2 linked regions of the Rattus norvegicus genome follow. Each later gene encodes a partner of the first gene's protein in a complex. Links are inferred from orthologs where the notes say so. Each region holds a gene or a part of one and is shown on either strand. Other genes may lie near its edges.

Region 1 (4,060 bases):
ATTTGGGATAGGCTGGTAACAGAGCAAAACTCACATTTTATGAGGTAACTAACGAAGGAAATCTAAAGGCTACAGTGTTTATAAGATGTAAGACACTGTCAGGACAATTTTTGGCTGCTGCCAGTGACACATGACTGAAGCCACCACAGCAGATACAGGATTTCAGAATTTCTTCTTATACTGGGCTCCCTCTTGTGCTGTCTGAAGCCTTCCAATGCTTCCTGAATCTGCAGACAGGGAGCAATAGTAACCAACCAGTGGATAGAAACACGGGTAGTCTGGAAAGTCTAGACTAAGGCAGCAGGTGCCCTGTGGCCTAGTTCTATCAAGACTCCATGACAGGGTCTAGGTAGAATCCAGTTCTGTGGTCCTATTGCCCTTTTTATGAAGCAATTCAGATAGTGTCTCCCTTCCAGAAAGTTTAAGGAAAAGAAGCAAAAATCAAAACTCAAGGCTCAGGAGGTAAGGCTGCAAGGAGTACCTGGTCAGTGACGTCATACACCACAATGATGCCATGAGCACCCCGATAGTAGCTGGAAGTGATGGTCCTGAACCGTTCCTGACCAGCTGTGTCCCACTATGAGTCAGGAGGAAAAGGGTAGGTAGGTCAGCCACAGGAGAACTCCCACCCCAAGGAAAAGACTTCTGCCCGAGGGCTGGAGAAAAGCCATACTCACAATCTGTAGTTTGATGGTTTTGCCATCCAGTTCAATGGTTCGAATCTTGAAGTCCACCCCAATGGTGCTGATGTAGCTCTCTGTGTACGTGTCATCCTGAAAAGGTTGTGGCTAGTGAAACACTGGAGAGACTGGCTTCCTGCCCCTGTGGTGCTTCTCACTGCCAAGCCTCAGTTCTAATCACCCGACTCCCAGGGCCTGGGCCCTTGCTGTGGCAGCTCCAGCCACCACACTCTTAGTTCTCGGACTTGCAACTACTGTGTTCTGAGCTGCCCCCTCCTCTTCCCGGTGGTCAGCCAGGACCCCAAGTAGATAATACAGGGGTGCTTCTTACTCACAGCAAACCGCAGAAGCAGGCATGACTTGCCCACGCCCGAGTCACCAATCAAAAGCAGCTTAAACAGGTAGTCACTGGCAAGAGAAGACGGGAAGGTATGAAGGCGAGCAGGAAGTTCCCCCTCCTTCCTGTAGTAAGCATGACAGCACTACAAGGCATACTTCTGCTTGGTCTACTCTGGTGCTCACTAGATCCTTCTACTGTCCTGATTGACCCTTAGTATCCCCAATAAGCTAGCACACAAAAACCTTCAGCCTGTGTCAAAAAGAACACAATCTGCTAAGAAATACGCGGTGCTATTTGGCAGACACTATTTAAGAAACTCACGCTGGGCCTTACACTATGCCAGCTTAGGACCCAAAAACGAAAGCCTGACCCATGAAGTAAAAATAAACATGAAGGTGGGATGGGAGGTGGGGTGTATGTGTGGTGGGGGAAGGTGGTGCACATCTTTGATCCCAGCACTCAGAAGAGGCGGGGGCAGATTTTTGAGTCAGAGGCCAGCCTGGTCTACAGAGTGAGTTCCAGTACAGCCAAGGCTGCAAAGAAACCCTGTCTGAAAAATCCAAAACAAAACAAAAATGTGAAAGAGCCTGAGATGAAGTCACACAAGAGGCGGTCAACAAGTGGCCATGGAAGCAGTGGTAAATACTAAATTGTAACTGGATGTACTTGAAATACATGCTCACAACAGTGCAAAGAAGTGTGTTACTACTTCCAACTACGGAGGAAACCAGAGGTCACAGAAGGGAAGTGACTTGTCCTAAGCAGTTGATAACTGTGAGACTGGAAACCAGGCCTGTCAGACTCCAAGCTCTTTGACAGCTGGTAGCCTCCCTTCTCTGTTCCCCTCCTAAGCCCACTAGTGAGTTCAACCCTTCCTCAAGGAAATCTGAGGCCTAGAGTTGGGGAAGAAAAAGGAAGTGGAGAAGGGGAAGAAGATAACGTGGGTGCAAAACTGTATGTAGGGTTTGAGTTTGAGGAATAAAAATTCCGCTCTAAGGGAGCAAGCAAATTCACATTCACCTAATGTGCTTTGGCAGTGTGACAGCAGAGGGAAGCTATGTGACAGTGGCACTGGAGGCCTGAGCAAAGGTGAGAGGACAGAAAAGGACGGACTGCCGGGAGCAACATGACAGCGCGACCCAGGCAGGGCAAATGGTAGCCTCAGAGGAAAGGATCTGTAGGGAATGTGAATCAAGCAGGGACTCGGGGGTCCCCTCTTGTCTGGTCAGATTCTGGGCCGGCCCCGGGACAGAGGCTCCAGAAGAAAGGCAAAGAAAGGTTCACAGCCCAGTTGAAAGTATTCGACTCTGGAGATCAGAAACTATTGTGATGGGCTCCAAACAGCCTGCCCTTGGTCAAGCTGTGGGTGGGAAAAAAATTGAAGCTCAGGAAGACCAAATCTGCAGGGTCACCTAACCGAAAAGGCCTGTGAGGGCTGGCGCAGCGGGCTCCGAGTGCTGCCCATCCAGGTTGCAGCCTCAGGGACCCGGGCTGCAGAACTCGGGGTGTTGAGCCAGGGTCCTGGGGATCCCGGGGGGAGGGCAGGACCCGGATGTAAGGGGGGGGTCAGCGGAAGAGGGACCCGGATGTGGGGGCGCCGCGCAGTTCTGACCAAGGCCAGACAACTTCGGCAAGCATATAGCCCCATAGACAGGATCGAGGCTGCGCCGCACGGCGCGGGCGGGGCTCACTCACTATTCGGGGTTCATGGCGGCAGCGGTGGCCCGCTCGGTCGCTCCCAGTCGGCTCTGCTCCGCCTCCCGTTCCAAGATGGTGGCCGCTCCGCCCTAGAGGCCCCGCCCGCGCTGCGCAGCCGCAAATACTTCCGACTCGGGTTGCGCCGCGCTGCCTTGCGGAACCTGTAGTTTCCATGGATATTCGACTTGCCACTGCTGCGCAGGCGCAACCCAGGGAACCCGAGCAGCGGTGCACCCCAGTAGCCTCCGGCGAACGGCCTTCTGGGGTCTGTAGTCTTCCCAATCCCTGAACCAACTTAGCTACAAAAATCTTCGTTGTGCTACCCAATCCGCAGGTGCAGGCTCTTATTTAACACCGGGGTAGGTACGGTTCGCCTCTAAGATGGGCTGCCACCTTTACCCTCTAGATTCGCAGATTGAAACTAGAAGGTGGGAGGTATTTAGGGCCAGAAGATTTTGACTTATTCAGCGTTTTTCATGGGATGGGCACTCCGCAGCCCTAGCACTAGGATTATGTGATCACTAGTATTACATATATGAAAAATCCTCAGGAAACTCAGTTCAAGAAGACATCACAGACGGAATTGTCTAGAACCCCATTAGGGCATGTTAGACGCAACCCCAAATCTGTAGCATCTCCCCAAACAGTTCAGGATAATAGCAGAGTATTAGTTCCAGCCTCGAGGGCAGGGAAGATATGTGTGTATCCCTCACTCCCGAAGTCTCTCCTGATTCCACCCGACTCTAGGGATGCTCAGGGGCTCTGAATTCCTCAAAACAAGCCCGGTTCAGGTTCAAATCGTCTTTATTTCTACAGCAACATCTGAAAATAGAGAGCGACTGCCTTACCCAACAAATGGGGTAGTCCCTCCTGTGTGTGGGGGGAAGGGGGACATCAGAAGCTGAGGCTAGGGAGGCGTGGCAGGATGGCTCAACGGGCTGTGCCCAGGGTGGGGTCAGGCCATGCCTGGGCGGGGCTAGGTTGAAAGAACAGTGCATTAAGTCCAGGAGGCAGCACAGGGCCCCGTGGTGTGGGGGATCCGGGCATTTGCAAGGTGGAGTGGAAATCCCTCCAAGACCAGGCGAAGAGGTCTAGGAACCCCTTTTGGGAGGCTCTGGTCCCAGAACTTGGAGCTTGGAAGATACCACCACTGGGAACAGGGTGATTTAAGGCCTGGGCGGTACCACTGGATAAGAGAGAGGCAGGTGGTGGCCCGGGAATACCGTGGACTGAGGGGAGGAGGGTTGAATGACACGGCCAATAACTTATTTCTCTATATACAGAAGCAACGGCCGGGAGTGGAGGGGAAAGGTGCTGAGGGGACAGCAAGTACTTAGTGTTC
Region 2 (3,500 bases), on another chromosome or scaffold:
ATTTTATGTGTATGAGTGTTGCATATGGTTTGTTAAATGTAGTGTTGAGGGTGCCTTGAATCAAACTCACACACAAGTGCTGTGCTGTGCTGTGCTGTGCTGTGCTGTGCTGTGCTGTGCTGTGCTGTGCTGTGCTGTGCTGTGCTGTGCTGTGCTGTGCTGTGCTGTGCTGTGCTGCTGGGACATTCACTGAGCCCAGTATTGAGTTTTGAATTACATTTTTTTCCAGTATAAACAATTAAGGGCTGGAGAGATGGCTCAGCGGTTAAGAGCACTGACTGCTCTTCCAGAGGTCCTGACTGAGTTCAATTTCCAGCAACCACATGGTGTCTCACAACCATCTGTGATGGGCATCTGATGCCCTCTCATGGTGTGTCTGAAGACAGCAACAGTGTACTTCTATACATGAAATAAATACATAAATCTTAAAAAAAAAAAAAAAGGAAGAAGGAAAAAAGAAAAAACAATTAAAATTTTTTTCTGGCCTGGTGGTGATGGCTCATGCCTTTAGGCCCAGCCCTTGGGAGGCAGAGGCAGGGGGATCTCTGTGAATTCAAGGCCAGCCTGGTCTACAAAGCAAGTTTCAGGATAGCCAGTGCTACATAGAGAAACCCTGTCTCAAAAACAAAAACAAAAATAAATAAATAAATAAAAAATAAATAAATAAAAAAAGGTTGTTTTTCTTGAGTTTAAGGGTTAACAAGACCTAGGCAAGGAAACCAGCCCAAGGAAACCACGTAGATTGAGATATCTATGCTTTGTGAACTTTGAACAGGAAAGCATTGACAGTAGCCGGTACTTACTGATAGTTCCTAAAACTATAATTCCCTGTTAGTTACATGGGGTGTGACCAAAGTGTCTTATACATCATGTGCTAAATATGTGTAGGTTCTGTAAGAAGCAATCATGAGGGCCACAGCTGAGAGAAGGCACCTCAGACCGAGTTAGGAGACGGGGACTCTAAGCAGAAACGTACACAGGAAGTGTGCTTCATTCTCTTCCACACACTGTTTGCTTGTTTGTTTCTCCAGACTTTAATGCCAAAAGGAAAAAGAAGGTGGCGGAGATACACCAAGCTCTGAACAGTGATCCCACCGATGTGGCTGCCCTCCGACGAATGGCTATCAGCGAGGGCGGGCTCCTGACTGATGAGATCAGGTGCCAAGTATGGCCTAAGCTCCTCAACGTCAACACCGATGAGCCACCGCCTATGTCAAGTAAGGGAGCAGAATCCTGAGGTGGGGAGCTTCAACTAGGGATCGAAATATTGTCTAGCTAGAGGAGGTTTTTTTTTTTTTTTTTTTTTTTCTTTTCTTTTTTTCGGAGCTGGGGACCGAACCCAGGGCCTTGCGCTTGCTAGGCAAGCGCTCTACCACTGAGCTAAATCCCCAACCCGAGGAGTTTATTTTTTAATTTTTTTTTTTTTTTTCGGAGCTGGGGACTGAACCCAGGGCCTTGTGCTTGCTAGGCAAACGCTCTACCACTGAGCTAAATCCCCAACCAGGAGTTTATTTTTTTTTAAAAAAAGTTCTCGGGGTTGGGGATTTAGCTCAGTGGTAGAGCGCTTGCCTAGGAAGCGCAAGGCCCTGGGTTCGATCCCCAGCTCCGAAAAAAAGAACCAAAAAAAAAAAAAAAGTTCTCTTACATGGCTGGGAAGATGGCTCAGAGGACCTGGGTTCGGGTTCCCAGCACATATAAGGTGACTTACAACCATACAACTCCAGTTCCAGGAGATCCACTGTCCCTTTCTAGCCTCCTGCATACAGCACTAGAGAGAGAAGTGGCAGAAGTGCTGAGGTTCCTTGGAGTTCAGAATCCTTTAATTCTGTCAGAAGCTGTTGATTAACAACGTTAAAGACACGGAGTGATGGGGGACCTGGGAGAGCAGAGAACAAGCTCCAGAGCACCAGCTCCATTGCCCGCCCTGCCGCCTCTGGCTTTCCTGCTAACATGGCAGTGGACTATGCGTTGTGTGTTCTGGGAGTTCTCAGTCATTTGTCAAATCTTGGTGCCCTTGGTGTGTGCCACATACTGGATGTGGTTAAAATGATCCATGTGCTGAAACGTTGATGATATAATACACAGTGGATGCTGGGTTGCTACATGTCAGCTCGTTATGGATATCTGAGACTGCTGCCTCAGAGCAGTGGGCTCTGTGTTAGGGGAGTCAGGTGAGAAGTCATTCTTCTCTCACGTTTCAAACTTGACACTAAGATGAAGAAAGTGTATGTGGGTGTGGGCTGAGGTGGGTATGTAAGTCTTGCACAGTTCCTCTGATAGCTCTCTGTGTGGGTTGTGAGGAAAATCAACTTACACAGTACTTGGCTTGGGATAAGGAACATATATGCTTGTATCTGTAAGCCATCTTCCAGCCCCATTGATAAGAGCATTTACTTAGCATGTACAAGGCTCAGTCCTAGCACCGCACAAAACTGATTTTGGTGGCACATGCCTGGGATGGTAGCATCAGGAGAATTTAGTGTTTAAAGCCACACCTTTAATTCCTGCACCTAGAAGTCAGAGGGAGAGGCAGATGGATTTCTGAGTTCAGAGATAGCCAGGGCTACATAGAGAAAGGAAGGAAGGGAGGGAGGAAGGGATGGATGGATGGATGGAAGGAAGGATGGATGGAAGGAAGGAAGGATGGATGGATGGAAGGAAGGAAGGAAGGAAGGAAGGAAGGAAGGAAGGAAGGAAGGAAGGAAAAAATGTAAGTGGGGAAAGGCTCAAGGTCAGGGCTGGAGAGATGGTTCAGTGGTTAATAGTGCTGGCTGCTCTTCCATGATCCAGGCTCTAGTCTCAGCACCAACCTGGTGGGTAACAAACCTCTGTGCCTCCACTTCTAGTTCCAGGGGATCTGACACCCTCATCTGCATATGCCATGTACAGATAGGAGCAAGCAAAACACCCATTCACCTGAGATAAAAAGAAACTCGTTTTTAGTTTTGTTCTGTTTTATGAGTTAGGGTTTTATTGTCCTGGAACTTGCTTTGTAGACCAGGCTGGCCTTGAATGTACAGAGATCTGACTGTCTCTGCCACTTCAGCACTGGGATTTTTTTTTTTTTAAGATTTATTTATTTATTATATATAAGTACAATGCCGCTGACTTCAGACACACCATGAGAAGGCATCAGATCCCATGACAGATGGCTGTGAGCCACCATGTGGTTGCTGGGAATTGAACTCAGGACCTCTGGAAGAGCAGTCAGTGCTCTCCCGCTGAGCCATCTCTCCAGCCCCCAGGTGTTATATTTTAAGTCATGTTTTGTTGAGGAAAAGGGTGCTCTGTGTATTCTTTAGCTCTAAACTAGCATTCCAAGATGTAGTTACTATTGCTTTTTGCTTGCTTTGTGATGTTAGGTCTAAACTCTGGGCATGGAGCTTACTAGGTTAGCTCTCTACAACTGAACATACTGGAAACCCAAGAAAGATTGACTCCTTATCTGGCTTCCCAGAGCTCTTTGTAATAACACCATGTTCCTCTTCCTCTGATAGGGA

Evidence for each region. Proteins that work in one complex are often made in the same cells at the same time.
Region 2: the proteins of Rab1b (region 1) and Tbc1d20 are in contact, whole or in part, in a crystal structure (PDB 4HLQ), measured with the Homo sapiens proteins. The link is inferred for Rattus norvegicus from reciprocal best matches to the Homo sapiens genes RAB1B and TBC1D20. Residues at the interface, in NP_112243.1 of Homo sapiens: Ser17, Gly18, Ser36, Tyr37, Ile38, Ser39, Thr40, Ile41, Gly42, Val43, Asp44, Phe45, Gln60, Trp62, Ala65, Gly66, Gln67, Arg69, Phe70, Thr72, Ile73, Tyr77, Glu94; in NP_653229.1 of Homo sapiens: Gln97, Gln98, Leu101, Asp102, Arg104, Arg105, Leu107, Arg108, His141, Tyr142, Tyr143, Gln144, Gly145, His147, Asp148, Phe177, Met178, Asp179, Pro180, Thr181, Met182, Lys186, Val212, Ile215, Leu218, Ser219, Thr223, His227, Met272, Ala273.

The regions. Positions count from the first base shown.
Region 1 is NC_086019.1:211,840,423-211,844,482, forward strand, and holds the start of Rab1b (ras-related protein Rab-1B), read right to left. Parts: upstream 2,801-4,060; 5' UTR 2,730-2,800; coding exon 2,716-2,729; intron 1,089-2,715; coding exon 1,016-1,088; intron 774-1,015; coding exon 678-773; intron 578-677; coding exon 482-577; intron 228-481; coding exon of another isoform or gene 99-227; exon of another isoform or gene 1-98. UniProt on the Homo sapiens protein: The small GTPases Rab are key regulators of intracellular membrane trafficking, from the formation of transport vesicles to their fusion with membranes.
Region 2 is NC_086021.1:161,235,348-161,238,847, forward strand, and holds part of Tbc1d20 (TBC1 domain family member 20), read left to right. Parts: intron 1-1,031; coding exon 1,032-1,217; intron 1,218-3,497; coding exon 3,498-3,500. UniProt on the Homo sapiens protein: GTPase-activating protein (GAP) specific for Rab1 and Rab2 small GTPase families for which it can accelerate the intrinsic GTP hydrolysis rate by more than five orders of magnitude. Also shows GAP activity for RAB18 GTPase.